2 linked regions of the Lytechinus pictus genome follow. The main gene of each other region encodes a partner of the protein of the gene in region 2 in a complex. Links are inferred from orthologs where the notes say so. Each region holds a gene or a part of one and is shown on either strand. Other genes may lie near its edges. The genes, in order: ubiquitin carboxyl-terminal hydrolase 12-like and WD repeat-containing protein 48-like.

Evidence for each region.
Region 1: WD repeat-containing protein 48-like (region 2) and ubiquitin carboxyl-terminal hydrolase 12-like share a complex: the UniProt entries of both Drosophila melanogaster proteins name them as parts of the usp12-46 deubiquitylase complex. The link is inferred for Lytechinus pictus from reciprocal best matches to the Drosophila melanogaster genes CG9062 and Usp12-46.

What each region holds. Positions count from the first base shown.
Region 1 is NW_026974140.1:11,562,427-11,579,186, reverse strand, and holds the start of ubiquitin carboxyl-terminal hydrolase 12-like, read right to left. Parts: upstream 9,324-16,760; 5' UTR 9,175-9,323; coding exon 9,142-9,174; intron 1-9,141. UniProt on the Drosophila melanogaster protein: Catalytic component of the Usp12-46 deubiquitylase complex.
Region 2 is NC_087245.1:11,492,028-11,508,823, reverse strand, and holds the start of WD repeat-containing protein 48-like, read right to left. Parts: upstream 6,258-16,796; 5' UTR 5,813-6,257; coding exon 5,765-5,812; intron 1-5,764. UniProt on the Drosophila melanogaster protein: Regulatory component of the Usp12-46 deubiquitylase complex. activates deubiquitination by increasing the catalytic turnover without increasing the affinity of deubiquitinating enzymes for the substrate.

The sequences.
Region 1 (16,760 bases), on a different chromosome or scaffold from region 2:
TAGGGCTCCTTGTACATGTAGGAGCCCCAAAGAATTTCCATGTAGAGGACTCCAACCAAAATTGAGAAATGTTTAAAAAAGAACAAAAAATTGATTTATGTCATTGTGTTGTATGATATGGACAACTGCTGCATTTGCTATTAACATTTAAAGCATAATTCGCAAAAGTATCACTTTACATGTAGATGAGTATTCTATAAACAAGTGGAACGCCTCTGGCTGTCTCACCTGCTTTACGCGATTCAATATAGCAGCAGTGATGACTTTGAAAACAGCTATTGAATAATTATTCACAAAAGTAAACACTCATATGATAATAAAATACTATGTCCATTGGCCCAACATGACCTTTGACTATGATCATGTGACCTATTAAAGACGTGTGCAAAACAATAATTCATCTATGTTTCATGAACTACATGTGTAGATCCATGCAATTCAACAAATACCCCCAACATGGCCAAAGTTCATTGACCTTAGATGACCTTTGATCTTGGTCATGTGACCTGAAACTCGCACAGGATGTTCAGGGATACTTAATTGCTATTATGTGATTGTCTAAGTTTCATGAACTAGATCCATAAAATTTCAAAGTTATGATGACAATTCCACAAATACCCCCCAAAATATCAAAGTTCTTTGACCCTACATGTAAATGACCTTTGACACGGATCATGTGACCTGAAACTCGCACAGGATGTTTAGGGATACTTAATTGCTCCTATGTCTAAGTTTCTTGAACTAGATCCATAAAATTTCAAAGTTATGATGACAATTCCACAAATACCCCCAACATGATCAAAGTTCGTTGACCATCAGTGACCTTTGACCTTGGTAATGTGACCTAACACCGAGGCAGGATGTTCAGTAATACTTGATTACCCTAATATCCAAGTTTCATGAACTAGGTCCATATACTTTCTAAGTTATGAGGACATTTAAAAAACTTAACCTTGGTTAAGATTTCAATGTTGACGACGCCGCCACCGTCGCCGGAAAAGCGGCGCCTATAGTCTCGCTCCGCTATGCAGGCGAGACAAAAATCAGAATATTGAAATAATACAATGCCAAAATTACTTAGTTACTTCAATTTTTATTTTCAAACAAGGGTCTCTTTCGTTGGAATATCAATGAAAGGTGTCCTTAAAAGGGCATGGTGTTCTAGATCGGGGAAATAATAAAAATCTTGATTTTACCAGGTACATGTTCATGAATCTTCAATTTTTGTTCTCCTTTTACCTCATAAAGTAAGCTCCATACATCATTTCTACTAGCGGTAATAAACAACAAATTATTTGATCTCCATTAATTGAAATAAATGATTTCATGAAGAGTCGTCATTTCGAAATAAAGGTTCAGGTGACGATTAGCCAGGAGGCTCCTAGAGAGTAAAAATCATTTACTAGCGTATGCTCACTCTCAACGGAGCCAGGAATTCCTTCCCATTCATCTGCATGTACCGCAAAAAAACCTGAAACTTTCGCCCAAGATTTCTACTTTCCTTCTAAAAGATCTAGCCCTAAATCGTATGGGATACAACTTCACATCCAACATTTCTACGATATTGATTTCATTTTTAAGCAAGAATTCATTCAAAAAACGAGAAAAATGTGAAAAGACGGGGTAAACTTGCCACCGTGTTTACGTTGCCTTCTTGATTTCATTGTCTTTCGCTTGGCGACAGCACGCAAATCGCTCGTACAGCAGTACAGCTGATCTGACGTAAACAAGCAAGTTTATTAAATAATATTGCACGCCCTCTCTATGCGTTTCCGGATCAGGCGAATTAAATCCATGCCTTCTTCAACATCAAGAAAAATCATTGATATACATGTAAATTACCAGAAAGACAAAGAGGAAATGAAATTGGCTTCATATCGTTTGGTAAGTTTCATATCAAAAGCTTATCTGATTTAAAATCTCTCGTCTATTACTAATTAAAAAAAAATCCCCTGAAAGTGTTGAATGTGCCGTGCCAGTGATTATCCTGTGCACAGCGGCAGTAATGCAACCATGGGTGGGTACAATGAACATATCTTCATTTGTAATGATTGTGATGGATTCGTAAGCTATAAGCCTAATCTATGTTTTAAATTAAATTAGCTATTTTTTTTTTGTTTCATTCATTATGTCAAGTTAGCATAAATCCAACAATTTTCATTGATTAAAATTAATCTCAGCAAAAAATAATGATAATGGAAATGAAATGAAATAAAAATAAATAATTTAGCATGTTTAGCAACAGCTTAGTTTTTTTTTCTGAACGTTAGAAACTTGTTTTCTTTACCATATGCATAATTTCTTTTAAAAAATTGTTTTCATGTTGTTTATCTAATGATGAAGCATGAGGTCAGAGAGATTGCCACCCATTTCGATATTTCAAGTTTAGTTGGAAAAAAAACTGGAAAAGAGTTGGGGAAAACAAAAAAGAGGGAGAAAATGTGAAAAAAAAAAAAAAATATTTGGGCCTATACCCAGGAGAAGTTAAAATGACATCCGTTTTGGGTCATCTTGCCGTGCAACAGTCCGACCACTCACACGTATTGCGAGGTTAGTATACTATAACCTTGAACTACGAACATGTCTATCCCGGGGGGGGGGGGGGGGGGGGTACTCGACCAAAAAGTGGAAGGTACATGTATGTGCCGCGGGCGAGACAAAAAAAATGGGGGCCTTGGAGCGGGCTTATTGTAAAAAGGAGGGTCCTCGGAAACGGGCTTCGGAACTACAAATGTTTGTGAAAACGGGGGTCCTTGGAACGGGTTGCCTGCGTGTGAGTGCGTATGCATGCAGCTAGCCCGGCGACGCGGGCACCCTCACGCAGAGGGGCGATGGTCGTACAGTGCTCTGCTGCCGCTTTTCACCAAAAATGCAGCTCATTGTAGCAGATTAAATGACGCTATTTGAGGGATATTCATCATATTAGGGGGAATTTACTTCACATCATTTGGTAAGTTTCGTAGGACTTGATTCTGTAAATCCTCCTATTAAATTTGCGGGAGTTTGTTGCAACTTTGCATGCGCCGTGCCTTCAATTATCCTGTACACGGCGGCAATAATGCACCCATGGGTGGAGTCCGACCTGAAATTTATGACAGCCCCCATATAAACAATAACTTGGCGCATCCCAGATAAAATGCATCAGAGTGGAATCGAATGACCAAAAAAAATATTTCAAGATGATATGTCAGTGTGGCTTGCCGTAAACACATTTTTTCTCAATGCCGACGGTGGCGGGCGGTGTGCAAAGAAGATCATGCCTACATAGGACATGTCTGGAGGTGTCTTTCCAAGGACCCAGGGTTGAAAATACACAGGAGCGACGAGCGATTCTGCCCTCGCGTGCTTTGGAATCGCTCTCGCAACTGCCTAAAACTGCCAAGTACCGAGCGACTCCCAACATGAAAATTGCTCCAGTCCACGCCCATCAAGTCTCCCATTTACGACTGCATATTAGCAGTCAGACAGCCAGGCCAGCGCAGCCGCAGTTTTTAATTTCATGCATCGTCGCATTCTGATGTGTAACTGAGTAGATTTTTAGAATCACAGGCGCGGCGCTTCAGAAAAATTTGTATAGAGTTTCAAACTCTCGATATCCCTTGTACTATTTTTCAAAACGTTGCGCGGCACCAGGTCTCGCCGAAACTTTGATAGCCAAAAATTTCCTTTTCTATTGGATTAATTTTATAAGATACCATCCTAAATTTGCAATGAACCGTGCTGACCAGTATGATTGCATCTTTGAAAGGGCAGGGCAAGCGCAACTCTAGAGTTGGAACTGGGCTGAAGATAGCGGCTTGTTTTTGGTGAAGATTTGTTTATATGCCATTTTGACAAGAGTTACGACAAACTTTTGTATATACTATAATTATCTTTTTCATATTTATAGAAGGATGCACAAGAAAAACATTTCATATATGCATACATCATATTGGTAATAATATCATTATGTGAGAAGTGAGATTTTATAGATAGAGTCAATGGCGACAATAGTCAAATATGACTAATCGCCACTCAAACCAACATAAGAAGAAGAAGAAGCAAGAAAATAAGATCGTGAGCTCTGAAGAAAATCACAGTATTTTTTTTATTTTAGAGGTATTTTTTTTATTTTAGAGTAATTTTTGGGGACTCCACTTCTCAAATCTGAACTAAGCCACTTGGTGCTCTGGAAATTTGGCGCAGATCCCGCAATTTTCAGACCGAAATTAGGATTTTCTGTGGGGATTTTTGGAGAGGAACGGTCAGTGCCGGAGTGTAGCCTATACATGTATTGGCACTAATGCAGTTTCATACCTGCCTGTGTGTTGTGGTGATGATTGACTGTGAGCTGTGTGTTGAGGTGATGATTGACTGAGAGCTGTACTATGTTCAGTGGCTGAGCTGCGCTAGCGTAGCCTAGCTTGAGAAATAGTTGACATGGTGACGTTAGCTGTCAGGCTGTGATGCATTCAATATTTCATTAAATAATTTTCAAGTGAGTTTTAGTCAAAAAGTATATATTTATGAAAAGGATTCCTCTGAGTACAAATTCTGTTCAAATTTGATCAACTTAATCCTTTTCAATTTGATGGACAAAATTGTATATTAAAAAAAGAAGTTAAAAATTGAAGTTAAAATTAGCAGCCCACGAGCTGGCACCTATATTGACATTCATCTTTCAACAATCCTTGGATACTGGTACTCTGCCTCTTGATTGGAGAAGAGCAAATATATGCCCCATCTTCAAGAAAGGAGCTACCACTGATCCCGCTAACTATAGACCTGTGTCCTTGACATGCACATGCTGCAAACTTCTCGAACACATAGTAGATAGTCAGGTGATGAGTCATTTGAGTAAGTTCAACATAATGGCAGACAATCAACATGCATTCCGCAAAGGTAGATCGTGTGAAACACAACTTATCCTATCCTGACCACATACGACTTGCTTCAGAGCATTGACAATAAACAATCTATCGATGTGGGAGTACTTGACTTCTCAAAAGCCGTTGATGTAATGCCACACCATTGACTTCTTCTCAAGTTAAAATATTATGGAATCAGGAATATATCCAAGGACTGGATAGCCTCCTTCTTAATGAATCGCTTTCAGAGGGTGATCATCAATGGTATCCCTTCTGAATGGACACCTGTCCTGAGCGGAGCCCTGCAAGGGACCGTTATCGGCCCCCATCTTTTCTTGATGTTTATCAACGATATCCATGAAAACGTCTCCAGTACAACTCGTCTATTTGCAGATGACTGCCTTGTGTATAATACCATCAAGTCGCCTGGCGATGAGCAGCAATTACAAATAGACTTGAATAAGATGGTTGACTGGTCCCAAGCTTGGGGGATGAGGTTTAATCCATCTAAATGCAATACCATGAGGATCACTCGGAAGAGGAAGCCTGACCCTACCAAGTACACAATGTTGGGAATTAGACTGGAAGAAAAAGAGAACGTCCAGTACTTGGGAATCCAGCTCCAGCGCGACCTTCGCTGGAACAAACAAACACAATATGCTACAACAAAAGCAACAAGGGTGCTGAACTTCATTAAGAGAAATTTCTACCATTGTGCCCCCTCCATCAAAGAAAAGCTATACACTTCCCTCATTAGACCCCACCTAGAGTACGCCATCGCATCATGGGACCCCTACACAAAGAAGAATATAGATAGTATAGAGAGAGTCCAAAACAGAGCGGCTAGATTTGTCTTTAACACGTACGGACGTGACACTAGCATCAGTGCCATTCTTAAGGACTTAGAGTGGGCCCCACTCCATGAAAGAAGGAAGTGTCATCGCCTAACTTGCCTCTACAAAATCCTGAATGGCCAACTGGACATAGATCATGAAAACTTCATCAAGCCCAAGCCATCAAGACGCAGAAGAGGACACACTCGATAATTCCAACAGCAGTACACAAACTCAGACTCATTTGCCAATTCCTTCTTCATCTGAACTATCAACCAGTGGAATGGCCTTCTACCAGAAACTGTAGACCAGCCATCAACGACAACTTTCAAAATGCCCTTACTAAAGACCCAATAATTTACAAAACTAGATCACACTCTCCGGCACACCTCCAGTTAAAACTCTTCTTGGAGTATTTCGGAGGAACATCATACCAAGTACCAAGTAGAACATCCATTTAATTTAATATAGGATGGGGGGGTCGGGTGTCCGGACACTTTATATTTTTGAAGCCTTCTTTTTTTTCTTTGGATTACACTAAAAATACGAATTCAATTGTTGTAATCATCTTCTATTTTGTTCTCTATAATATTTCCTAACATTTTGTACTAAAAATTGATGAAACTTCGCTTGTAAATTTTTCCAAATGACTTTCTAAAATTGATCATCCGGACACACAACCTGTCCGGACACACAACAACTGGGTATACAAGAAGTAATGAGAATTGAGATACAAACAATAAACATAAGATCTACATGCAAATGAACAATAATAAAGAAAATATTTCAACAATTAATAACAATGGCAATGAAGAAAAAGTAAATAGCAATTAAATAAACAATGTTTAACATTAAATAAATTTGTTAAGCAGGAAAAACTGCGATGCGAAACCATGCGCTGAATCATTTTTTTTTTAATGGGTCTCGAAAACTGAAAATGGCTCTCCTTAAGCCCAAGTCAAGGCTTTAATTTTCAAAATGGCTCCCTGGGCTAAAGTAAAAATAAAAAGTAATTTCAACACTGCAAGGACCATTCTACGTATCACTTAAATCGGCTTTGTGAAACAGTTGAGCGATATCTACCTCGAGCGATGTTCGTGCAGGCTCCACTCCACTTCACTACCGCTATACTATGCTCCACCTACCCGAACATCAAGCCCGTGAACCAATACGGATATACCGAGTCACAAAGGTGGGATGGCAATCATGATAATCGTAAAAATTAAACAAAAAAAATATAACAAAAAAGATGAATGACTTAATATCTTACTCTACACCCGTATTTCACAATGTTTCCATCCTCCGGTTATCCTCAAAATTGGTGATTTTGGGCCAGTATCAAATTCCTCACACGTATTATTCACTGCCGATTTCAAAACATTGTATGCAACGAACGTAGAGGGCAGCAACACACATCAGTGTTGCTATTACATGTATATTTGGAAGGTCCACTCGATACGCGTTTCGAAATCGGCCGTGAATAATACGTGTGAGGAAAAAGATACTGGCCCAAAATCACCAATTTTGAGGATAACCGGAGAATGGACACGGAGTGAAATACGGGTGTAGAGTAAGATATTAAGTCATTCATATCCCTCGTTATATATTTTTTCTTTAATTTTTACGATAACCATGATTGCCATCCCACCTTTTATGACTCGGAATATCCGATCTAGTTCACTGTCCCGATGTTCGGGTAGGTGGAGCGTAGTGTAGCGGTCACTCACACGTATTGCGAGGTTAGTGTTAGTATACTAACCTCGCACCATGAACCGCGTTTGGCAGAGGATTTCTAACTAGTGGGTCACGCGTGCTGGGATCCCACTTCAGTGGTGTCCACAACACACGACTTCTATGGCTTTATTTTTCTGTGCGCGGCGGCATGTAATGAACCCTTGGGTGTGTAGCGGTAGTGAAGTGGAGTGGAGCCTGCACGAACATCGCCTGAGGTAGGGTAGGTGGAACGTAGGGCCTTATCTTCATCCAAGTCACTGGGGACAAACTTGAGACACACCTCAAATATCAGCAAACTTTCAATGGAATCCACGGTTGGAAGATTTTCAAAAGAAATCTATTGTTCGAGATGCGAAACGGTGCGAAGCTTCTCACTGAACGGGGACTTCCTTCCACCACACGTTTTCCCATTGACACAATAACAAATGACTCGGACACTTTTTCAAACGACAATAATAGTCTTTTTCTTTTCTCTCCTGTGGCTGTATATTCTTCCAAGTTGATGAAACAATGATCAAAAACACTAAATAAAACAAAATCAATCACATTAAAAACACTATTTAAACTGTCTAATTACTTCTCGTGATCCGAGTCCCCTTCCCGTGTTGAGACTGCCAATTTCCCATAGGAGGGGACTCGGATAACGAGTAATAGTACTCCTCGTTATCCAAGTCCCCTCCTATGAGAAATTAGACAATCTTAACACGGGAAGGGGACTCGGATCACGAGGAGTAATTAGACAGTTAAATAGTGTTTTTAATGTGATTTTCATTGATTTTAAGGATTCTTATTATCGAAAATATTCATTTATCATCTCTAGGAAACTGTCTAAAAGTGGCAGAGTGGTTTTGAAGAGGAGGGAAATGAGGGGTAGATGATTATCAACGGGTTAATTGCCGTTTTGTATTTTTAGTAAAGGTGGGATGGCAATCATGGTTATCGTAAAAATTAAAGAAAAAAAATATAAAGAGGGATATGAACGCGATCGGTCGCTGATTGATCGCGATCGCATGCGATGTTTTGAAATCGGCCGTGAATAATACGTGTGAGGAAAAAGATACTGGCCCAAAATCACCAATTTTGAGGATAACCGGAGGATGGACACGGAGTGAAATAGGGGTGTAAAGTAAGATATTAAGTCATTCATATCCGTCTTTATATTTTTTTTCTTTAAATTTTACAATAACCATGATTGCCATCCCACCTTCATGACCTTTTATGACTCGGAATATCCGATCTAGTTCACTGTCCCGATGTTCGGGTAGGTGGAGCGTAGTGTAGCGGTAGTGAAGTGGAGTGGAGCCTGCACGAACATCGCCTGAGGTAAGGTAGGACATGTTTTACGTTGTGAAAAATTGTCCGTGGATCCGAGTCACCGGGGACTTGGAATGGATCACGATAATGCCGAACGTAGACGTAGTGTAGCGGAAGTGGAGCCTGCACGAACACCGCTCGAGGTAAGCGATATCTCATTCTTACGTAGAATGGTTCAACGAAAGACCCTTTCATGCAACAGCCTACAGTACAGGCAGGCCCCATCTCGTCATGAAACAGGCCCCGGCCCCCCGCCCCTGCGACATACACACATGCACACTCACATTGTCATTGTCATTGATTGTGCCGAGCGAGGCGGGATCGTTGGTGACTGAAAATGATGACTCGGATCGGACCGCCCGGCACACTCACTATCACGACTATTTTGGTGAACAAAGTCATAAAATACTCACCATTCTTGAAACTAGAGAGAAACACGAATACATGTACGTGTTGAAAATTTGTCTCTCTATGGAGCATGTGGATTTACGGAGGTCTCAAATCCTTTCTAAGCATTATTCGAAGTATCGATAACAATTTGTCACGGGTTGTTCAACTTAGAATTGCAATGGTGTTGACAAATTATGGAAAAGGAAAATCAGCATACATCTTTGATTAAGACGGCAGGCAGATCATGTACGAACGTTGCCAATCTAGTGACCATAATTTGATCAAGGGAAATTAGTGATATTATACTGTATCATAGCGATCTCTATGTGAGTTTGATAGATACTAGCACTAAAGTTGAGTACTGGTACCCAAGAAGTTTCTTCTGGTACAAAATATATTATTTTCATATACTAAAGTAGAGTGTCTATAAATTGCCAAAGAATTGTACTAGTTATTTTGATAATGTACACGAATATATCTCTATATTTTCACGGTACGTATTACTTCTTAATCTGTTTGCTTACTTCAGCAAATGGCACTTGACCTACACCCATAGAGATGTATAACATTTCTCACACTTTTCCCTTGCACTTTTAGTCAATTGAAAAAAAAACAGATACATTCAAGCATTTTGTAACAATTTTGCCACCCAAATTGACATTTCATCATTTAGTAAGCACAACCTTTACCCTTTTTGTGCCAGCTGGATCGGAGGACATAACTGAACCTGAACAAAAGTTTATATCAGACATCTCCAGCATTTTTACATTGAGTTTTTATCATTTAAAGTGGGTTTACATTTCATTTTTCATTTAATACTTGTTTTTCCACACTTTTCCCAAGCTTGACAATGATTAACAAAATTAAAATCAAGCCTAAGCCATTTCATGTAAATCATAGCTCAGTGCAAAGCAAAATTCGTCTCGATGGCCTCGGTGTGTGGGGGAATGGAGTGGGCCAATGCACTCTTCGAAGTGTTTTGGGCAAGGAAACAAGTTTAAAAAGGTAAAAGATATCTTCAAATCAATTTTACCAGCTAAATTCCACGTTTTCTTCATGATTAAGATCTACTTTTATTTGCATAACTATTTCAAAGTTCTGCGCAAATCATTTTTCACTACATTTTCAAAAGTAAGTGGTGCTCACTCAAGCGGAAATATTTTTCGACAGTTATATCGTCATTTGCTTAAATGGATCTGTACCAATGTTAAAATGTGGAAAAATCTTCAGGATATTACAAATGTATAATTTTACAGGATTTTTTCAAAGTGTAAACTTTTTTTTGATACGCACTGTAGTTTTCATCTCTATGGTCTAGTGGCCTATACATAATATCTTTTGGTCTATGAGCCAAAATTTTGAGGGATCGAGAGAGAGCACGAAATGGCTACGTGGGATAATTTCTAGAAATTTTGGCCTGTTTAAGAAAATCTAATTTTGTGATATTTTGACGGTCACCAAACAATACCATGTTTCACAATTTTTCATTTTTTCCCTTGGTCATGGAACTTTTAGGGGACCAAATAGCCCTCCCTCCACCTTTAAGCCAATGGTGGTTGTAGCCTATGAGCATAATTCTCATAGCCTCAATCTCTCTTTCCTAATTCCCTCTATTTTAATTCCTATCACTTTCCCTATCTTCACCGTGCCCACTTTCTATTTATCTCCCCATTCGACTTCTCGCCTATGCATCTTTTACCATTCTCTATTTTGCAGTTAACTTTCAGACATATTTCATTTCACTCGCATTTTGCTCCGGGATTTTGCTCTGTGTCTTTCATGGGTCTTTTTTTTTTTGCCTATTCCTTTTTATGGTGCACTTGCTATTTTCCATTTCTTTCCAAGCGCGCCCAATTTGCATGTCTTTAGTGTTTATTTTATATCATTTATGAATCATTATTGCATATACGCACATGCAGCAGAGGGGAAATTACTATGTTTTAAATAAGGACGGTAAGATCAATATGATAAATCTGAATCTGAAATCACAGTCGACCATGAACGTATAGGCCCTTATGACCTTTTTACCTTGACACGATGAGAGAACATTTGATGAAAATTTCCATCAAAGCATTAGTTTTGATTTGTGACGGTAAATCAGCTGGCCCATACGGAGCAAGGGGTTGCGGAACAGGGGGCGGGGGCTAGCTATAGGGGAATTTTAATCCCGGCCCTCGCTCTTGACCCCTTTTCACTAACATGCATAAAGATATGAAAATGAGTGCGGTTTATTATTATTATTTTTTTTTTTGCTTTTACTAGCCCCGGTCACATTTTTTCTTTCTTTCAATTAAAAAAAAACAACCAACATTCGAATAGGCCCTATTATTATTTCCTCCTTTGTAAAGATATTTCGTATTTAAGGTGATAACTTTTTAGCATTCATTTTCCTTGCTTTCAAATAATATGTTCACTTTTGTAAATTTAATGACAAAACCCGTAATATTGTAAAATTCAAAGCTCGTATCAAAGGCATCTAAGGATATTGAATATTTTTGGCGAAAAAATGGTAGATTACCTGTAAATTAAAAAAAAAATGGAGATTTGATATTTTATTTGTCTTATGTATCTGTCTCTTCAAACTTATGTATACTTAAATGCTGCTCAGATTTTATTTGATTTATATTGTAATTTGTACGTTGATCAATCGAGTGGGGTTTATTTTTGCTTTAGCCCCTCACTTTTACTTTCGAAACCACAACCTCTCAAAACCGTTCAGCGGCCCTTAAACAACGAAAAGAAATGATTTATCCCTAAAAGAAAAATGAAAAATAATAGTTTATCCCAAATCATGGTGATCGATGAGTATCCCATTCAGTATCAAATCAGTTATGTTATGTTGTATGTTATGTTATACCGAGGTTTTTTACCTGACTGCTAAGAAAGCACGAATGCCTGTGAGCAAGCAACCAGGGGACCAACGGCTTAAGGTCCTCTCCGAGGGACCTGGTAATGAGGATAAATGCCTTACCAAAGGGCACTAGCGCACCACTTGGGAATCGAACCCGGGTCACCGGAATCCGAAACCCCCGCGCTCTACAGACTGATACAGTGATACAGTGATTTTTATTTCTTATACGGCCCCTTCAGGGGCATGCTGGAAGAAATACAATAGTGTAACAACAAATATAGATATACATTAAAAAAAATTAAAAGATAACAAAAGCTTAAAATATCAGACTCTTACAACAAACAGGTAAAAGGCAAGAATCGAAAATAAAATATATGGACTAATAACATGGCATAAAAATAGTCTGAACTAACTACGAACATGTACATTAATTTTAAAAACACCAATTCAACAACTGGAAGTGCATGAAAAAAAGGAAAGACAACAAAATTATTTGAACTTCGACATGATGACTTTACAAAATTTTGATAGATTCTTTAAGTGCTTAATAGATTTACATTGAATAGCTAATTAAACTTAATGACATTAGGTCTACGGTAATAATAAGTCTTAACATACTTTTTACGCTCATCATTGAAAAACGGACATACTAAAACATAATGAAATTCATCACCCTGAACTTCAAGGTTACACAATGGACATATTTCAAGAGGTTGATCAGATGAATAACGACATTTAGCAATTGGCAGATTATGGTTACCACATCGAAATTTACATAAAGATATTCTATCTCCTACATCCAACTTCAACAAATATTTTTCTAAAACTGTTTCTTTTTTAAAAATTCTATAGTTGAAACACAACCGATTTCTATTAACTTCTTCATTCCAGTTTTGATAATCAATATCACGTAATCTACGTTCCATAGCTAACTTAACCCGATTCAGATTTAAAAGATGGTCTTCTTCCCACAAGCTTGACATTCCACAATTGTCCAAAATACTTTTAATTTTTAAGATCCATCTTGAATGAAAATCAGAATTTACATGAAGTTTTCGTAACAAACTGTAGACGGTGTAAGAGAGTTTAGATTTGTTACCTTGACTAATCCTTGCCCAAAAATTGACCATTATACGCATCTCTATTCTACTTGCGAGGGCACTTCTACCAAGTTCACCATAATATATATACACCATGCATTTGGCAGTGCCACGATTTAGTTTAAGCAAACTTTTAAGAAATTTCCTATGAAATATTTCAATACAATCGAGTTTCTGGAAGCCCCACACCTCACTACCATACAACAAAATCGGAACAACAAGCTGATCAAAAAGCTCATACTGAATATCCACAGGTAAGCACAATTGTTTTGCTTTGCAAATTAAAGCAAACATAGCTCTCCTCGCCTGATTAACCTGCTTAGTGATAGCTTTATTAAAGAACCATTATAATTGAAAGTCGTTCCGAGGTGTATATAATCATCAACAACATTGAGGGTACTATCACCAAAAGTAAATTTGGGGTATTTACGCACTTTTCCACGAGAAAATATAACAATCTTTGTTTTGCTTGTGTTAACAGACAATTTCCAAAGATCACAGTACTGGTGTACAGCTGATAAAGCATTTTGCAGTTCATCAGCAGACTCCTATGGCGCGCCATTTGTTTCATAAAGGCGATAAACTCAGTTTATCGCCGAAAAACCTAGTTTATCAATCGAAAAACCTAGTTTTTCAATTGAAAAACTAAGTTTTTCGCCGATAAACTAAGTTTATCACTTGAAAAACTAAGATTATCAAGAAAAACTAAGTTTATCGCCGAAAAACTTAGTTTTTCGATTGAAAAACTTAGTTTTTCATTGAAAAACTTAGTTTATCGGTGAAAAACTTAGTTTTTCGCCGATAAACTTAGTTTTTCAATTGATAAACTAGGTTTATCAAAAAAACCTAGTTTTTCAATTGAAAAACTAAGTTTTTCGGCGATAAACTTAGTTTTTCTTGATAAACTTAGTTTTTCAAGTGATAAACTTAGTTTATCGGCGAAAAACTAAGTTTATCGGCGAAAAACTTAGTTTTTCAATTGAAAAACTAGGTTTTTCGATTGATAAACTAGGTTTTTCGGCGATAAACTGAGTTTATCGCCTTTATGAAACAGATGGCGCGCCATAGACTCTGCCATAACAATCGTATCGTCCGCATACAGCAACACATAAAGACGTAAAATACTTCAACATCATCATTACTGAGATTTTTCCTAATCTCTGAAGCACACATATCAAGACCTTTATAACGCCTACTAACAAAATATTCAAAATCATTCAAATACATTGCAAACAGTAAAGGGGACAAATTTTCTCCCTGCCTTACTCCTATATTCACTGGCGTAAATCCCGGGGGGGATGGGGGGGATATATCCCCCCCACTTTTCGAGGAGGGGGGGATGGCCTGTACAAACATCCCCCCCACTTTTTACGAAAGAAATGAAAAAAAAAATCACAAGAGATAATCGTTTTATTTGTGAAAATTCTTCCAAAAATACCGCTTAACAAATAAAATAATATTATTGAATCATAAAATGCAAATAAAGAGCCATTTCACCATTTCCAAACGAAATACTTCCAATTCATCAATGTTGGGGTCTTTGGGAAGGGATTAAGATGGAATGTCAAAAAACTTAAAATGTAATCTCTAATAAACCATTAAACCATCATGGGGTAAAAAAGATAATAATATTGGAGGGGTATTTGCCATATGGACATACAGTGGCGTAACTACGGGGGACATGGGGGGCACATCCCCCCCATCGGCTGACCAAAAAAAAAAACGGGGAAAGGGGGAAAAGGAGAAAAGAGGGAGAAAGGAAGAGAAACGTAGTGGGAAAGAAGAAAATATTATTCATTATAATGTTATATCATATTATAATTATGTTAAGTTACATTACATAAGAAACATTTTTATCATAACTTTATGAAACATAATTTGCCCAGGGCCTACGTCTCAATTGTTCCTGGTGCTCGCATTGTCTGTTTGACGAGATATATAATCCTGTTGTACCAAAACATCCCGTTTTCAAGTCAATATAAACCAAATATTTCCTAGCACTTGAGTTATCATTGTTTTATGTAGTGACATGTGCTTTTTTTTCATGACTCAAAAGTGATTGCCCCATGTTAAGGTCTTCGTATATATGAAACATTTCCTGTCCGTGATTACGTTCGCATTTTTCATGGATTGGTGAGATATGTCTGCTCTTCATGAATTCCTAAAATCAGTCCTTAAAATTTCCCTTCTTCTGATCTGAATATCAAAAATTTTCAGCTCGCGCTTCGCGCTCGCATCATTTGGTTAATGAAATACGTATGGTCCTGGTTAATTCCTACAAAGAAAACTTAGAATGCCCCACTTCAGGTCTGAATTATCTAAGTTTTCAGCTCGCGCTTCGCGCTCGCATTGTTAAAGGTCAAGTCCACCCCAGAAAATTGTTGATTTGAATGGATAGATAAAAATCAAACGAACATAACACTGAAAATTTGATCAAAATCGGATGTAAAATAAGAAAGTTATGACATTTTTAAGTTTTGCTTATTTTTCACAAAACAGTTATATGCACAACTCATTTATATGCAAATGAGAGAGTCGATGATGTCACTCACTCACTATTTCTTTTGTTTTTGATTGTTTGAATTATACAATATTTCAATTTTTACAGATTTGACAATTGGGACCAACTTGATTCAACCACAAACTGTTAAAATAATGGTAATTGCACATGTTCAGGGAGGAATAAAAATTTGTTCCACATGACAATGAGGAGAAAATTCGAATTTTTCATATTTCATATAACAAAATACAAAAGAAATAGTGAGTGGGTGACGTCATCTGTCTGCTCATTTGCATACCGACCCGGATGTGCATATACCTGTTTTGTGAAATTAAGCAAAACTTTAAAATGTCATAACTTTCTTATTTTACAACCGATTTTTATGAAATTTTCAGTGTCGTGTTTGTTGGATTTTTCTCCTTTTATTCAAACCAACTTTTTATTGGGGTGGACTTGTCCTTTAAGCGAGACAGGTGCCTATCATGATTACACAAATTTGATTATAATGTCCCTTTTTAGGTGTGAATATAAAAAATTTCAGCTCGCGCTTCGCGCTCGCATTATTTGATGAGTGAGATACATATCCGTTTAATTACATTGTCCTTAAAATTTCTCTATTAGGTCACTCACTCAGTCATTCAAAAAGTTTGCTGGTGCCCGGCCCCCCAATGCCGTGACCCACGGTACGCCACTGTGGACATATCAATGACAATTCCTTGCATATCTAAAAACATGATTGCAAAAAAATGCCAAAATATTTCAGTCATCCCCCCCACCCATCAACACGGATTTACGCCAGTGCCTATATTACAAGCAAAAGAATTGGACAAGCTGTAACCAAGTTTTATACACGATTTTGCATTTAGATACATATTATATATAACCCTAATGATGTTACCATTGATACCATTAGAAATGAGTTTATACCACAAGGATGACCTATCAACTAAATCAAAAGCTTTCCGATAGTCTATAAAAGCACAATAAATTATCTTACTCCGGTGTAAATATAAATCAATTAAACCAGCATGTAAAGTGAAAATATGATCCATTGTGCTATAGCTTCCTCTAAATCCAGCTTGTTCTTCACCAATAATCCCGGCACAATTAAAAAATTCAGTAAGTCTAGTGTTTATGCAAGATGTAAATAACTTTCCCAAACAACTTAAGAGTGTAATACCCCTATAATTG
Region 2 (16,796 bases):
TTCATTCTGCCTTCAGTAGTGCTCCTCAGCGATACTTCACAAACACACACAGAAACTTTAACAATTTAAGTTTCGACAACGATAAAAGAATTGGTAAACTTTTAAAAATTAGACCCCTAAATTGATCAAGAAATGCAGCCAAACTTGAAATGAGCTTTCAAACTCTTTGAATTATCAACAGATTTGAACTAATTCTTAACACATTTTGTAGGATTTTGGGGCTAAATCCGATATCAAATTCCGTCTGAAATCCAGCCGTATTTGATGCCGCCATATTCACTGAACAGGGATACAATCAAGGAGGGGGAAATACAAAATTCTTCCGTCCTGCCACACCCATGGGTGCATTGCTTGTGCTGTGCATATGAATATCACAGGCACAACACATGCAACAGCATCATGAGATTAATAGAAATTAGGAAATTGTTAAAAGGGTTTAAAGAATTCTATGAAACTCACTGAACAATATAAAGCCCTTTCTCCCACCTCTTTATCCTTTTGTGAATTATAGTGATTATTTTTTCTTTATTTAGTAGAGGGCTCTGTTGTGTTCACATGTCGAATTCCAGGCATGTTAAAGTAAGGCACCCGGAATTTCACATGGTAACTCCATTTGACTCGCAACGTGGCAAACTAATTCACAAGCCAGTAGTCATCACCACAACACACACCAAACACATGATACACAGGCATTATCACTCACCACATGCAAGTCCCGATTTGAACCTTAAAAAAAAAAACTTTAAAAAGTCAAAATTTCCCATTAAAAATGCGGAATCTGTACCATATTTCCAGAGCACACTGTGGCTTAGCTCAGATTTAAGAAGCGAGGTCGCAGAAAAATGAATTGAAAATGAAGAAATCTGTGCCTGTGGTTTTGTTCCTAGTTCGCAAACTTTCTCGGAAATTTAGGATTGACTTCAAAATGGCCAATCCAAAAGTCAAAAGAAAAACTGAAAAACCGCATTGCAGGCCTTAAATTACGTCATTTTTAGGGCAAGGCCAGTTTGGCCTTGAAATACCTTGTATTTTTTAGGGCACTAAGGCCACTACAAAGGGCACCAAGGCCAAAATCTTTTTCAAAGAAGGGCATCGAAGGCCATTTCTTTCAGTATCCTTTTTTTTAGATGTCAAATGTACTTAATCTTGTACAGGGTGCTACATAACCTTTTTTATCTCTAAATAGTTGGAAAATACTTGCTGAATATATATTTCACTTGCCCCCCAAAAAATATTTCATAACAAGATTTTACCATTTAAAGGAAAGAAGTGCTGTTCTATGGACATGTACCATTGCCTTTTTCCTCTTTCTAACACGAACTGATGTACCTTGTATTTGTAAAATTGTATTTTGTCATGTGATTTTATCTTGCCGGCCATGACCGAAATTAGTGTGTTGATGTGCTATTTGAATGATTTCCTCTCTCATATATTCTCATGTACTTTTGTGACCGTGGCACAAAATAAAAAAGGGAATCACTGAAAAATAATTATAAAAGAAAGAAAGAAATGAAGAAAGAAAAATATAAAGGAAGGAAAAAAAGAAAAAAGGAAAGGAAGGGAGGGAGGGTGAACAAATGGGTGAAATAAAGAATGAAGGAGACAAAGAAAAGAGATGAATCGAGAAGAAAGAAAGAAAAAATTAAGGGGAAAAATGAAGTAAAGAAAATGAAGGAAAAAAGAAAAACAGTGAAAAGAAAGAAAGTTAGAATAAAAGGATGAAAGAAATAATAAAAAGAAAAAAAGGGTTCCTTCATTCTTTGAAATAGATAAAAAAGAAAAAGAAAAGGGATGATGAATGAATGTTTAAAGGAAAAAAGGAGAGAAAGAAAAAAAAAGAAAGTAAGAAAAAAACGGAGGACTAGGGTAGATTGTGGTCACAATAACTTGGAAAGACAATTGTGAAAACATAAATTATGCACTTACCACGATTATATGGATGGAGGTCATCGTGTGGCAGTATCCTGACATCGAGGCAGACTGGAACCACAAAAAAACGAAAAGTTCTGTCGCGGTAGCTCTTCTTCTTTCAGAATTCATAGCAAAATGGCCGATCGAGACCGGTACCAAGGGTGTAGGGCGCATGTGCGAATTTGACCAAGTCTATATGCGCTAGTGCTATAGCCTCGGTCTCGATCGGCCATTTTGTTTTGAATTTTGAAAGAAGGAGAGGTATCGCGACAGAACTTCTTTTTTTTTTGAGGTTCCAGTCTGTGCCTCGATGTCAGGATGCTACCACATGATAGACCTTCATCCATATACCGTAAGTAACGGTGTATTAACCGCACCTTTTTCTCGGCGGGACAGAATCAAAAGTCGGGGGTGCGGTTTATACACGGTGACAGGTCTGAGCCAAGCCAATCTCAGCCCGATACCACTACCAGTTTTCAACTCGCGTCGGGTGGCCGAGCGTACCCGCTTGGGGCAATCCCGTTTAGAGGGGCATGAGCCGCGGGTATAAAAGGGAAGCAACTATGACTACCGGTATCTGCCGTAAATGTCCCTCAAAGTTATATCACGGTAACAAATGCACCTACCTTCATGAAACTGACTTTTTTTAATGGTGTGACTCTGTCTTTGTTGTCATTTTTTAGTCATCGCGGCAAAGTTCAGACGCCAATCGATCGCACAGCACGGTGCAGCTAGCCGAATAAGACATGCATGTGTAATGTTTATCGCAACGTCAACGTAAGCTGGCGCTTTACCTTTCCGTGGAAGTTATTTTGTTTGACAAATTATTGGTATTATTTGACAATTAATTTCTTTCATTTGCCTTTCCTTCATTTCTCTCTATCATCCATCATCTCAAAATCAATCTTCAATCCCCATCTTCACTCCTTCCGACTTTTTATTTTTAATTATTATTCACTTTATTCCCACCCAGAGCTCCCATTGAAAATACGGTATACCGGTACTAGCATTTTTTTTCCTATTTTGCTGTCTGTAAGATACCGCCACACACGTACTGAGAACTACTGGTAGTGGTTCAAAGCAGACAAGAAAAACACCTGAACAAAATCGCAAATTTCTCGTATCTTGAACCTTCCCGTATTCCCTTGTCTAAAATTCATGTCAAGACATTGAATGCTAGACAGAATTCTGAAAGCAAAAGTGGGGCTGTGATGCAGGAAATATGATATGAACGATCTTCTCGTATGGGTGAGCCCCCATGTTGATGCTGGTATCGGTACTTGCAATGAACACCTCCACATGTGTGTGTGTGAGGTGACTCGGAGTGTGGAAGTGGCCAATAATATCGGCAACTTGCAGATAAGTGACGAAGCGCTGATTTCCCATCATTTTTTACCAGTAATTCTTCGATATTTTTTGGTTCTTGACTCTTTCTTAAATACGTATATTAGAGATAGAAAGTAAGTTTGATTCAATTTTTTTTTTAATGATTTTTTTTTTTTTTCCATCCGAAAATGGGGGGTGCGGTTAATACACCGTTACTTACGGTAATCGTGGTAAGTGCATAATTTCTGTTTTCACATTTTTCTTTCCAAGTTATTGTAACAATCTACCCTAGTCCCGTGAGTATGAGTAAATGCACGGTGAGATCCTGCGGAGCTCCCTGGGTTACTAGTAGCCTAGAGAGAAACGTGTGCTTACTCTCCACGGAGCCAGGGATTGCGTCCCATGCATGTGAGTGTACCGCGAAAAAAAATGAAATTTTCGCCCCTAAGATTTCTACTTTCCTTCTAAGATCTTGCCCTAAATCATGTTAATGGGATACAATTTCATTTCCACAATATTGATTTCATTTTTAAACAAGATTCAAGAATTCATAAAAAAATCGAGTAAAATATTAATTATTAATATTTTATTCTTATGAAAAGACGGGGCCGGGGAAAAATTGGCTGCCGCGTTTTTAAGTCGCCTTCTTGTTTTCTTTGTTTTTTGCCAAAGCGACAGGACGCAGAGAAGCCAATGCAGTTAAGAGGAACAACCAAATACAGAGACTGAAGCTTTTGGTCTAGATCTAAATTATTTGCTTGCCTAAGTAATATTCTAACAAAGTTAGTATGGTAGTGTATCCTATTGCCGGACACCTTTATTTCAGTGCTTTAAAAATGACAACTAGAAGAAATACAATCAAGAAAAATTTGCACTTGCTATTCCAAATATTATGAAAATTATTAATATGATAAAATTATTTTATATTTACCAACCATTTTCTTTGCATCGCACTTGCCGCATACCCCTCCACGAAAAACAATTATTTTCGTGCGCGACAAATTACATCATGATTCCGGACGCGCGCCAGACGGGTAAAGATATCCTTGATTATAATGATGTATGGATGTAAATTTCTGTGATTTCTTTCTTCTTATATCATATCATGAATAAATTCTTACTTTTTGTTTGCTTTTTTTATATCGAATCTGAGCAGATGTTGGTAATAAATTCGTGTTTGATAACTTAATTTATTTTTTATTTTTTGGTTAGCTGCATGTTTCATGGCACTTTCCAGTGCTCGTTCGTATCGTGACGCTCATCAAGTTCTATGGATGCGCAGCCGATCGTCGACGGCTCTACTCACGGTAAACCTCGCGCACGGTACCTTGAGAACTAGCCGTCGAGGGTCACCCACAATACACCTCACCTCATCATTCGATCGAAGGAGCCGACGAGATTGAAATTCGGCAAATCAGGCCCATATTTCCGTTAGAAAATATATCAATTCATTCAATTGTTAATGCAAAACTATGTTAGGGCCTATATGATGTTTAATTTAACTTTAACCCAGAGAGCTCCAGCCCGCGTAGCGGGCTGGAGCCCAGACGCTCAGTGTGCAAACGGGCATTCAGGTGAGAGTACCGTGAAGTTTGGTCAAAATAATTTTGATAATACATAATTAAAACAGAAATTAAGCACTTACCACGATTGTATGGATGATAGTCTAACGAGTGGCAGTTTCCTGACATCGAGGCACAGACTGGAACCTCAAAAAACGATCAGTTCTGTCGCGGTGGCTCTCCTTCTTTCAAAATTCATAGCAAAATGGCCGTTCGAGAGGGTGTAGGGCGCATGCGCGAATTTGACAAAGTCTATATGCGCTAGTGCTATACTAGCCTCGGTCTCGATCGGCCATTTTGTGTTGAATTCTGAAAGAGGAGAGCTACCGCGACAGAACTGATCGTTTTTTGAGGTTCCAGTCTGTGCCTCGATGTCAGGAAACTGCCACTCGTTAGACTATCATCCATACAATCGTGGCAAGTGCTTAATTTCTGTTTTAATTATGTATTATCAAAATTATTTTGACCAAACTTCACGGTACTCTCACCTGAATGCCCGTTTGCACACTGAGCGTCTGGGCTCCAGCCCGCTACGCGGGCTGGAGCTCTCTGGGTTAATTTAACTTACGCATTTTCTGTCATTTTAGAGATAAATAAGGTAGAAATTTGATTTTTTCGCCTTGTTTTTGCAATCTTGTTCTATGACCTGTGAAAATGAATTGCGGAAGTCTTACGGTACGAAATTGTTTTCGAACCCATTTATATGCGCGTCCGGAATCACAATAGTGTCCGGTAATACAATACGTGACTATACTTGGCCCCAACTTTGTCTTTACCCAACGTGTACAATCATTTGTGGGACTGAGAAGAAAGTTTATGAGAGACCACTTGAAAATATGGGAATTTCACTAGATTCTACCTAAAAACTGTTAACACTATCAGTGAGAAAAAACATGGACTAATTATTCCTTGGGTCTTATAGATATTTTACGTCATATACACCAATTCACATTCTTATAATATACCTGAACTTTTCGCCTAGAATTGCTCGGCTGCCTGTGGTGGACCGCCATTCTTTGAGAGCCCCAACAAGAATGACGTCATAATATTCTACACCAAACGCCTGATTCAGGTGCAGTGTATTGTTCGTGTACGCTACAACTCTACACGGACACCTCAGGTAGGTGCAGTGTTGAGCTTGGTGCTTGTGTTAGGCGGGTTGTTGACATCAGCACAGCACCAAAATAAAAATAAAGTTAGACTTCCACCTATCAATGATGTGATCTGGGTAATTTTTGCAAACTCAGATTAGGTTTTTGTGCTAACGTTAGTAATAATAATAGAGCGGGGGAGGGGGGGGGGGGGGCTTTGGGGGAGACAGCATCAGTGGCTATGTTAGCAAAGTTATCCGTCCTAAATCAGGATATTTTGGAACCATGACATTTGCTCCGGCGACGATGGCTCCCGATAGTGGACGTTATAAGCAAACATACTGAGACCCAGCCTCCAAACTATATCAATATTATTATGAGCAAATAAAAACTTATTACAATAATAAGGCGAACTCTAATCAAATCCTAAGTAAATAACCATATGCCCTCTAAAATATTGAGACCGGATTAAATGTCACAGGAGCAAGCTGACTGAAATGTTGATCGACAACTAAAAAATAAAAAATAATAAATAAATAAAAAGGTTTTCACCACAAATTTAAGTCAGTCTGTACCTCTGAAAAATTGACATGCCCCCCAAAAAAGTCTTCACAAAATTTTTAAGGGGGGGGGTGGGTGGGTATAAAAACAATTAGGGGGTTGAACCCCTCTAACCATCCCTGCGTACGCTACTGTTGGTGACCGTTTCATTTATTTCATCACGTACCATTACAATTAGAAAAATAGAAGAATTAGAAGAATTAGCTGCCGTTTATGTTTTCTAGTAACTTTTTTTTATTTCAAGTAAGTCGTATGAGCATGGACCTACCATGTTATTAACAATTATTTGTTTTCTTTACATTAACCCAGAAAATTCGACTTATTCCTCGGAAATTGATGTGTTAGAAAAAAATCAAGCAAGATACTGCAATACACAAGAGGCAAGGCAAATGCCTACTGATGGGAGATTTTAATGGTTACACCAGCAATGTGTCTGATCAGAATACACCAGAAAAAGACAACATAGGTCGATTAATACCACAATATAGAATAGATAATGATTTTAATCTGATGGATAGAAGAAACCAGGATTGTAGACCCCCAAACAATAGGGGAAAATATATTCTGGAGTTATGTAAAATGTGTGATCTCCGAATTCTAAATGGTCGTACGTTTGGAGACACGAATGGAAATTTTACATGTTATGGTGCTAATGGTGCTACACCGAGCGTTATTGACTATACACTGACAGATAGTGATTTATATGGTCTAATCACATTCTTCCATGTATTACATTTAACGACTCATTCAGACCACTGCCCTATAGAGGTAAAGATTAGGGCAAATCATTACAGAGATGTACATAAAGATCAATGTGAAAGCAATGTTAAAGAGTTAAAGCAACCCCTATAGATATTTTTAAATGGCAGGGTCAGTTTAGCAGAGAACAGTTTGAAAGGGCCCTGAAAGAGCCCCAAAACAAGGACATGATTAATTCTTTGTATGAAAAGAATTACATGTTAGATGAAAACGGAATAGATACTGCGGTGAACGAGCTGACTGACTGTATTTTACACGTGGCTGATTCAGCTCAAATACCAAGGAAAATACCAAGGAAGAAACAGAATTTACGAAGAAAATGTAAACAGTTTCAAATTGATAGAGAAACAGAAGCACTTAGGAATAGGGTTAAGAAATTGTGTCGGGAAGTATGTAAGAAACCGTTCGATTGTCAATTGAGAAATACGTATTATACGTGTAGGAAATTATTCAAGAAAAAACTAAAAACAAATATTAGAGAAAGCAGAGAAAATATGTAAACAAAGTTAGAAAACATGCAAAGCACTAACACAAAAGAAAGGTGGAGTATAATAAATGATTTGAATGAACTGCATACTGAAAGAAATGATATTTCGGGAAAGATTTCACATATAGAGTGGTATACTTACTTCTGCAAATTAATGAATAAGGACTACTCACTTACTGAGAATCAACGGGTGATTGAGGGTCAACTAAATGAAGAACATCTGAAAAGAACCTTTAGTTCGTTGGATTTTTCTATATCATCTCCCGAAGTCGTGGCATGTATTAAAAAACTTAAACCAAAGAAAGCACCTGGTTGTGATGCGATTCTAAATGAAATGTTAAAAGCAGGTATATACAATTTTTCACCAGTGTTAGCAAAAATTTTCAACTTGATCCTCGTCAGTGGAAACTTTCCTCAAAATGCTGAAATATGGTATAGGAGGCAATTTTTATGAGATTGTAACTAATATGTATAAAAAACTAAAGTTGAGTGTAAAGCTGAATGAAGGGATAACCGAGAGTTTTGGAAGCAATTGTGGTGTAAAACAAGGGTGTACATTAAGTCCCACCCTTTTCAACCTCTATCTAAATGACTTGCCTCATGAGTTAGGAATTACTGACACTGATCCAGTTGAGTTGAATGGAAAGTTAGTCAACTGTTTAATGTTGCAGATGACATTGTATTGGTATCAAAATCAAGGTGTGGAATGCAAACATTGTTAGATAGACTTGGTATTTACTGTGATAAATGGCTATTGAATGTTAATACTGACAAAACAAAAATTAATGAATTGTAACAAGAATGGAAAAAATTTGAAAGATCAGGCTTTCGAGGTAAATTAACGGTCAGAACATAGAAGTTGTTAAACATGCAACATATTTAGGTTTGGTTTTCAATAACTGCGGTTCATTCAAAGATACAAGAGTTAATCTGGCAGATAAAGCCAAGAGAGTATTATTCAAATTATTTCAATCCTTTTGTTACAATCTTCCAAATATAAAAACCGCGTCACGAATATTTGACTCTTTAATAAAGCCAATACTCTTATATGGTTCGGAGGTATGGGGCGCTTTTACCGTCAACTTTAAAAAAGTTAGCGGAGCTTGAAAATGGTAATTCAAAGTTGTATTTGAGAAATGAAATTCAATGTGTCCAGTTTCAATGGTTGAGAAATGTCTTAGGAATTAACAAAAGGAGCAGCCACTTAGCAATACTTGCAGAAGTTGGAATGTATCCACTGATAACACAAATTAGCGGAAAGTATAGATGAAGATTCTTTGCTACATCACTTTTTTGAAGAAAACAAAAAAATAATTGAGAATAATTGCGAATGCTGGCTAGGAAACCTGCAACACCTTCTTAAGGGGTTTAACATATATTTGGATGTGAATAAGAATTGTTTAGAACTAGATGAGATAGTCGATAGTGATAGAGTAGTAGAAGAAGAAATAGAAAACAAAGTTGAAGATATTTTCAATCGCCAGTTCTTATTGGATTTACGTAATCATAGAGGAAATGATAATGAACAAAATAAATTGAGAACTTATAAACTTTTTAAACAGAATATACAAACAGAGAAATATCTATTAACTGTTAAAAATCAGAAAATACGGAAAAACATCTGTCGATTTAGAATAAGTTCCCATAATTTACCCATTGAAACTGGAAGACGTCCAGATAAAATACCCTCACATTTAAGAACGTGCAATAATTGTAATTTAGGAAGGGTTGGGGATGAGTATCACACGATAATAGAATGTGATGTACACACAACTGAAAGGGTGGTGTTTTTTTACAAAATAGCTGAAATGTATAAACAGTTTAAGAAACTTAGCGATGAAGACAAATTTATATTCATAATGAAACTTGATAATGAAAACATAATTGATAATTTTTGTAAGTTCTTCAAAGCGATTATAAATAAGAGGGGCGAGTTTTAACATCAAGTACATTTTTCTTTTTAAATTTCATTCATAATATCTAAAATCCACCAAAGCCACCATTACCAAAGCTATATCTCTAACGGTATACATTTATTTACTTCCTGATTTGTATTCGATAATTAGATAACTTATGTATATTGCATTATGCTACACCTTCTTTATGTTAAATTTCAATTCGTCATTTCTCTTTGTATATAGATGTATATCTTTATAATAATTGGAAATCTATGTATTGATGTATTACTGATTTATACGACATACAGTTATGAATGTTTTTGTTTATGTTATCATTGTATATATTTTAAAACAAAATATTCATGCCATATGAATGAAGTTTATTAATAAATTCAAATTCAAATTCAATTAAAGTTTAGTTGTAATCCGGGGGGGGGGGGGGCACTTACATTGACGAGTGGGTACCATGCGCGACCCCCAAAAATACGTAAAAAAGAGAGGTATATAATTAAAGGTGCCAAAAACACTAACATTATTTTAAAAGGGTATCTATTTTGCTAGGAGAGCTAGGTGTTTAGGGTCAAATTTGCAAGGGTATAAAAATAATTTTTTTTTATAAAGGATGTACTTTTTGCCCCCAAAGCAACAGTCAACACTACGTGTTTAGAGTACGATTTGCGCGAGGTGTGGGAGGTGGGGCCGTACTAAAAGCCCCTTTCACAATTGATGTACGACCTGTTTACGACCACCTGCAACAGTTTTTTCTTGTTGTTGCACGATCGATCCCTTGGTGTCTTGCGAGCACTCGCAGTCGTTGTAGACGATCGCACAAACTCGAGGTGGTCGGAGGTGATCGTGACTGGTCGCATCTGAACTTTGAACATGTTCAAAATCCAAACGCGATCAAATACGATTGATTCACTCGCAACAGGTCGTACCATCGGTCGGGCGATCATCGTGTGAGTGTTGTTCAAAGTTGTACGACTTGGTGCGAGAGGTGGCACAACTAAGTATAGTCGCATTTAGTCGACTGGAGGTCGTACAACACTTGCACATGTGCTGGAGACCTACAGAGACCAGTCTTGCGACTGGGTGCGATAATATGAGACTGTTGCAAGACCGATCGAAATTACGGCTTACTACATTCCACTACCGTTGCATTCGCATGTATGCGACCGTTCAGCCCCTTTCACAATTGACGTCCGACCAGTTTACGACCGCCTGCAACAGTTTTTTCTTGTTGTTGCACGATCGATCTCTTGGTGTCTTGCGAGCACTCGCAGTCGTTGTAGACAGTCGCACGAACTCGAGGTGGTCGTGGCTGGTCACATCTGAACTTTGAACATGTTCAAAATCCGAACGCGATCAAATACGATCGATTCATTCGCATCAGGCCGTACCCGGGGTCGTACTATCGGTCGGGCGATCATCGTGCGAGTGTTGTTCAACGTTGTACGACTTGGTGCGAGAGGTGGCACAACTAAGTAGTCGCATTTACTTGACTGGAGGTCGTGCAACACTTGCACATGTGCAAGCGACCTACATGTACAGAGACCTGTCTTGCGACTGGTTGCGATAATAATATGGGCCATAAGACTGTTGCAAGACCGATCGCAACGGCTTACAACATTGCACTACCATTTCATTCGCATGTATGCGACCGTTCCACTCGCAATCCCTCGTGCAACACTCGCATGTGATCGCACGAGCACAATAAGAGCATATGCGACTTACTCGTGCAACGGGGTTTACTGGTTGTTTTTGTTGTACGACAGCTGTTGCAACTGTGAAAGCCTCTGTGCGATCTTATGAGATGACTAGCGATTGATGCCTGTTGCAGCCTGTCGCACGACCAAAAGGTCGCAAATGGTCGTACGTCAATTGTGAAAGGGGCTAAACCCAGTGATGTAGGTAAAGGTAAAACCGACGTCCGTGACATAACGATTACAATATCGCTGTAGATCTAGATCTACTTGTTTAGGGGTTCAATTCAGGGAATTGCTTGCCAAGGGTATCGTTTTGTTTCCAATACTTGTTAAGGGTAGGGTTTCACACGCCAATACTTGTTAAGGGGTGCATTTTCAGAATATGGAAAATACTTGTTTAGGGTGCTTTTCGTGCATGCATGGTATCCACTCGTCAATATAAGTGCCCCCCCCCCTCCGGGGCTGTAATCCTTTTTTCCCCTTCGCCCTAGTTTAAGCCACTGACACTAATCTCACACGACCTAAATAAATAAATTGAGCACAAAGCGCGAGCTGAAGTTTTTTTATCATACTAATGCGCGTGTTCTGGGGGGGGGGGGCTCGGAGCCCGGGACTCCGGGTAGGCGAAAACGGGGTCGCCAAAAAGAGAAAGGAAAGAGAGGAAAAGAAAGGGGGAGAAAAAAGGAGGGAAAGAAGAAATAGAAAAAAGGGGGAAGGAAATAAGGGGGAAAAAGAAGAAGGAATTAAGGGGGGGGGTCGCCGAATTGATGTTCGACGTAGGAGGGGGGGGGGGGGGCACCGACTTGATTTCCGCCGACCAAAGGGGGGGGGGCGCCAAATCGATGTTTGACATTGGGGGCGCCGAACTTTTGTTCGATCTAGGGGGGTGCCGAATTGAAATTCTACATAGAGGTGCCGAATTGATCTTCAACCTAGGGGGCGCCGAATTGAAGTTCAATATAGGGGTGCTGGATTGATGTTCCACCTACGGGGGTGCCGAATTGATGTTCGACATAGGGACACCGAATTGATGTTCAACCTGGGGGAGGGACGCCGAATTGAAGTTCGAAATATGGGGCGCCGAACTGATGTTCGACTTAGGGGCGCCGAATTGATGTTCAACATAGGGGTGCCAAATTGATGTTCAGCCTAAGGGGAGGGGGCGCCGAATAGATTTTAGACATAGGGGCACTGAATTGATGTTTGACATAAGAGCGCCAATTTGATGTTTGTCCTGGGGTGCCAAATTCACATGGGGGAGGCGCTTAGATTAAGGTTGGTCACATCAATAGCTTCGTTAGATGCCCATCCTGTTACCAAAAGTGCTTAAAAAGTCCAACTTTGGATCGACATATCAAACATTTTCAATGAAATGTTTTGTTTGATACTCTTCCTGTTTATGATTACCGAAAATGCTTACTCGAATGTCAAAATTTTAGGTCGGAACATAAAAAAAATTTCAGCTGGCGATTCGCGCTCGCGTCAGTTGTTTAGATAGATGCTCATTCTGTTCATGGTCACAAAAAGTGCATATAGAATGTCGAGTTTTGGGTCGGAATATAAAAAAAAAATTCGCATCGACTAATTAGATGCCCATCCTGATCATGATTACACAAAGTGCTTATCATGTCCGAATTTTAGGTCAGAATATCAATTTTTTTCAGCTCGCGCTCCGCGCAAGCACAATTGTTTTAATAAACACTCATCCTTTTCATGATTACAAAATGTGCTTAGAATGTCTAGTTTGGGTCCGGAATATCACAAATTTTAAGCTAGCGCTTTGCGCTCGCAAAAAATTATTTGTTAGATACCCATCATGTTCATGGTTACAAAAAGCGCTTAGGAAATTAAAAAACATTGTCAGCTCGCGCTTCGCACTCACATAAAATGTTAAGATAGATACCCATCCTGTTCTTGATTACCTCGAGTACTTATAGATTTCAAACTTTGAGGCCAGAATATTACAAAATTTCAGTTCGCGTTTTGTGCTCGCATCAATTGTTTAAATATACGTATACCCATCATGTCCATGGTTGCAAAAAGTGCTTAGAATGTCCGATAGGGAAACATATATATGAAAATATCCCCCCATTGGCGAAAGCTGGATCCGCCCCTGGCAAAGAAATTACAGCCCCTGCAAACATAGTTTTAGTAGGGCCTACCACTCTGATGAGAAGTTAAACTAAATTGAAACCCAAAGTGCTTAAAATTCTATGATTTCTGGTCGCATTTATTCTTTTCAAAAAGTGGTATTACAACATATTCACGGATATTTTTTTTCATGAACGCGTTAAAAAAGTGGTCTTCGATTGCCCTTTTCACGTGATTATGAAATAAGAGAATTCAACATGCATTTAAGCATAGGGTCCATGATTTAAGTCACCTATGTTTGCCTGGCGGGGGGGGGGGGGGGTTGCCATTTTCCGAAAAGTTCAAGGGGCGCCAAAATTTGGTCGGGCCCCCAGGGTGCAATATCCTGGATACGCGCCTGATACTGATCATACAATGGATCATTCCAAAGATTCTTTGTATGAATTCATTGAGAGGATTTATGCGTCTCCCTAACAAAATCATGTGCACTATCGCACTAAATGAATAGGCCTACAGTCCGATCGCGAAGATCTATAGCTAAAATTTTGGGAGACCTATATAATACAATGACAATTGCCAACTATATTTTGTGATCCTTAATCCTATCATATGAAAACACCAAAACTGACATCTAAAGATTGCAATTTAATTGAATTTCTGCAAATCATCTATCTTTTTCTGAGCAAATATTGATGTTTGATACGTTGTTTATATCACACTGAAACTAAAACCAAATTAAAAGGCAGAAACGGGACACATCAATATATAAAAACTGCTCGGATTTCAATCTTTGAAGGTTGTGTGATATACAAGCTATGAGGCTTACCAGCTAGGACCGCAGACTAACTACATAGTGGATACTGATTTAGGGGGCCCAAGCCAAAATGGCGAAGGGGGTGATGGGGCTGAACAAAGTGTACATAAAATCACAATTTGCCAGGGTAATAATGCGAGAGTCACTTACTAGCTCATTAATTACATCTCCCCATTAAAATATCTTATTTTTCAGGTATTTTCATATTCAATTCAAATTCATATAACGTTATTCATCTAAAAATAAGTGCACACATCGCATTTCCCAATCATGATAATAGACCTAAATTTTTCATTAGCTGTATGAGCTGTATATTAGCTGTATGTACTGGATCTTACTCCAACCCAAACGTTGTGGGATATATCCCCCCTCCAATTTCGTACATTGGCGTATACGGGGGGGGGGGGGTGATTTAACACAACATTAATATCATTTGATGAGCCATTGTCCTTCAGAATCATGATTTTCAATAAACTTCCTTTAAAATCTGGCAAATAAAACCTTATACGCCAAATTACACCATGAATCATTAAAAAAGTCATATTTCGCTTACTTGTTTCGCTCCATAAATTTTCCAAAATAGTGCAACATTATTAATCTCACCTCCTTGACTCCTTCGATTTATTTTCCCCACAACATCACAGCATTTGTATGCCAAACAACATAATCTTCACTTGCGGTCCAAGTCTTTACTGTCAAAATAAATAGGCAATATTTTTCCTTCCGATGGTGTCACCCCCACTGGATGATATATTATCGTTCATTCATCCATTCTATTGGGTATTGTGAAAGATCTAAGGACACGGCCTATTACATATTACGGAATTTGCGGGTTCATAAAATTTTCTGACTTGAACTTCCTCCCAGCAAAGAAAAGCATCTTTAAAATATATCCTCTAATAAAGCATGGTATATCATAACCCTTGAAAGAGATTAAGTCATGAATAACACCTATTTTTCGATATCACAATCGCAGTGAATAAGTAATCGCAATTCGGTCCGATTTTTTAATCAGTGATTTTGCTCCAACATCATTTACATTTACAAATAGTCAAATTTGGATCCGATCAATCCACACAATGCAACGGAAAGTGAGAACCTTCCAACTCAAGAATGTATAGTAGCTTGGTGTCATCACTGGCAAGGGAATGAAATAATTTATTTTTATGAAAGCTATAGGCCTAACTTTATTTTTGATTATATTCATGTGCAGGTTTGATTATCATTACTCATTATTCATTACCATTCATTTAATTTCATTTAGAAGTTTAGCCTTAATAGTTAATGACTTTGAGACTCTCTGAGAATGTATATCCGATTACAGTGATCTAATAAAGCAATTGATATTAAACTTAAATGTTATAAATAATGTATTTAAAGAACAATTCTGCATGTTAATTTCACAAACCACAAATCCCAACTCCAAATCATATTTTATTCCCAAATAATAAACTTTTATATATAAATCCTCCTGTGAATGAACAGGAAGCAAAGATGCAAAATAAAATCCGGAAATTAATCATGTACAGGAGCGCCTTGAGCACCTAACAAGGTGGATATGTGCGCAACATAAATACCCTATATTATTATTATTACAGACCTCAAATTTCATGTTTTGGGGACCTATAGCAAAGTTGCCGTGTCACAGAACTTGATAACTGGTTAGCATAAATTGAAGTTTGATCACTTTTAGTTTCATTTTAGCTCCAGGAGGATCGGTTAAGATAACAAATGGATCAAGTAAAATCATTTTTATTTTCGGATTGAAAGGATTTATTTCGCATGTATATAGTCCATTAAAATTGAGACATTGGAATCTAACATTTCGTGGATATTTATACCAACATTCAACATGTTGAATGAAACACATGGAAGTTCATATGTTTTTAATGACTATATTCAACGAGTTATCCTTGCTGTTATTTTCATAGTGATATGTATCGTCGGGATGATTGGTAACTCGATTGCAATATACTTGCTATCATCCTCTCTCGCAAGCTACGATCGACAACCAACTGGTTTGTGCTCAATCTCGCATGTGCTGACTTTCTGTCAAGTACTTCTCTTCCTTTCCACGTTGTAACTATATTGGATAAGACAGACAGCGCTTTCCCAAACTGGTTCTGCACCTTAATATCCGCCATCAGACTCACTTGCTTATCCGTTAGCATGATCATGTTGGCAATGATTGGATTTACCCGTTGGTTTCTCATCACAAAGCCACTCTATAAATTCAGGAAAGTTTACCGACCTCGAAATCTAAAACTCATGATGACTTTTTCTTGGATATACTCCGCATTGTGGGTCGTCATTCCACACTTTGCAGGTTTTGGAACGCTTGGGTTCTCCTTCCAATTTAAAATTTGCCAATGGGACTCTTCTACCGATCCATTCAAAGATTTCTACGCACTTCTAGGGGGCTTTGGTGTCTTTTTCATGTTTGCACTTGTTATTATCAACTATCTATTGATTTATCGTTTCGTGGCCAGACACGACAGGAAGATGAAAGCACTCAGGATGGAACACATCCACAGAGAACCAGCCCATGATGTTTCCATTGACAACATTCAAGATCATGGAATCGCTTCGT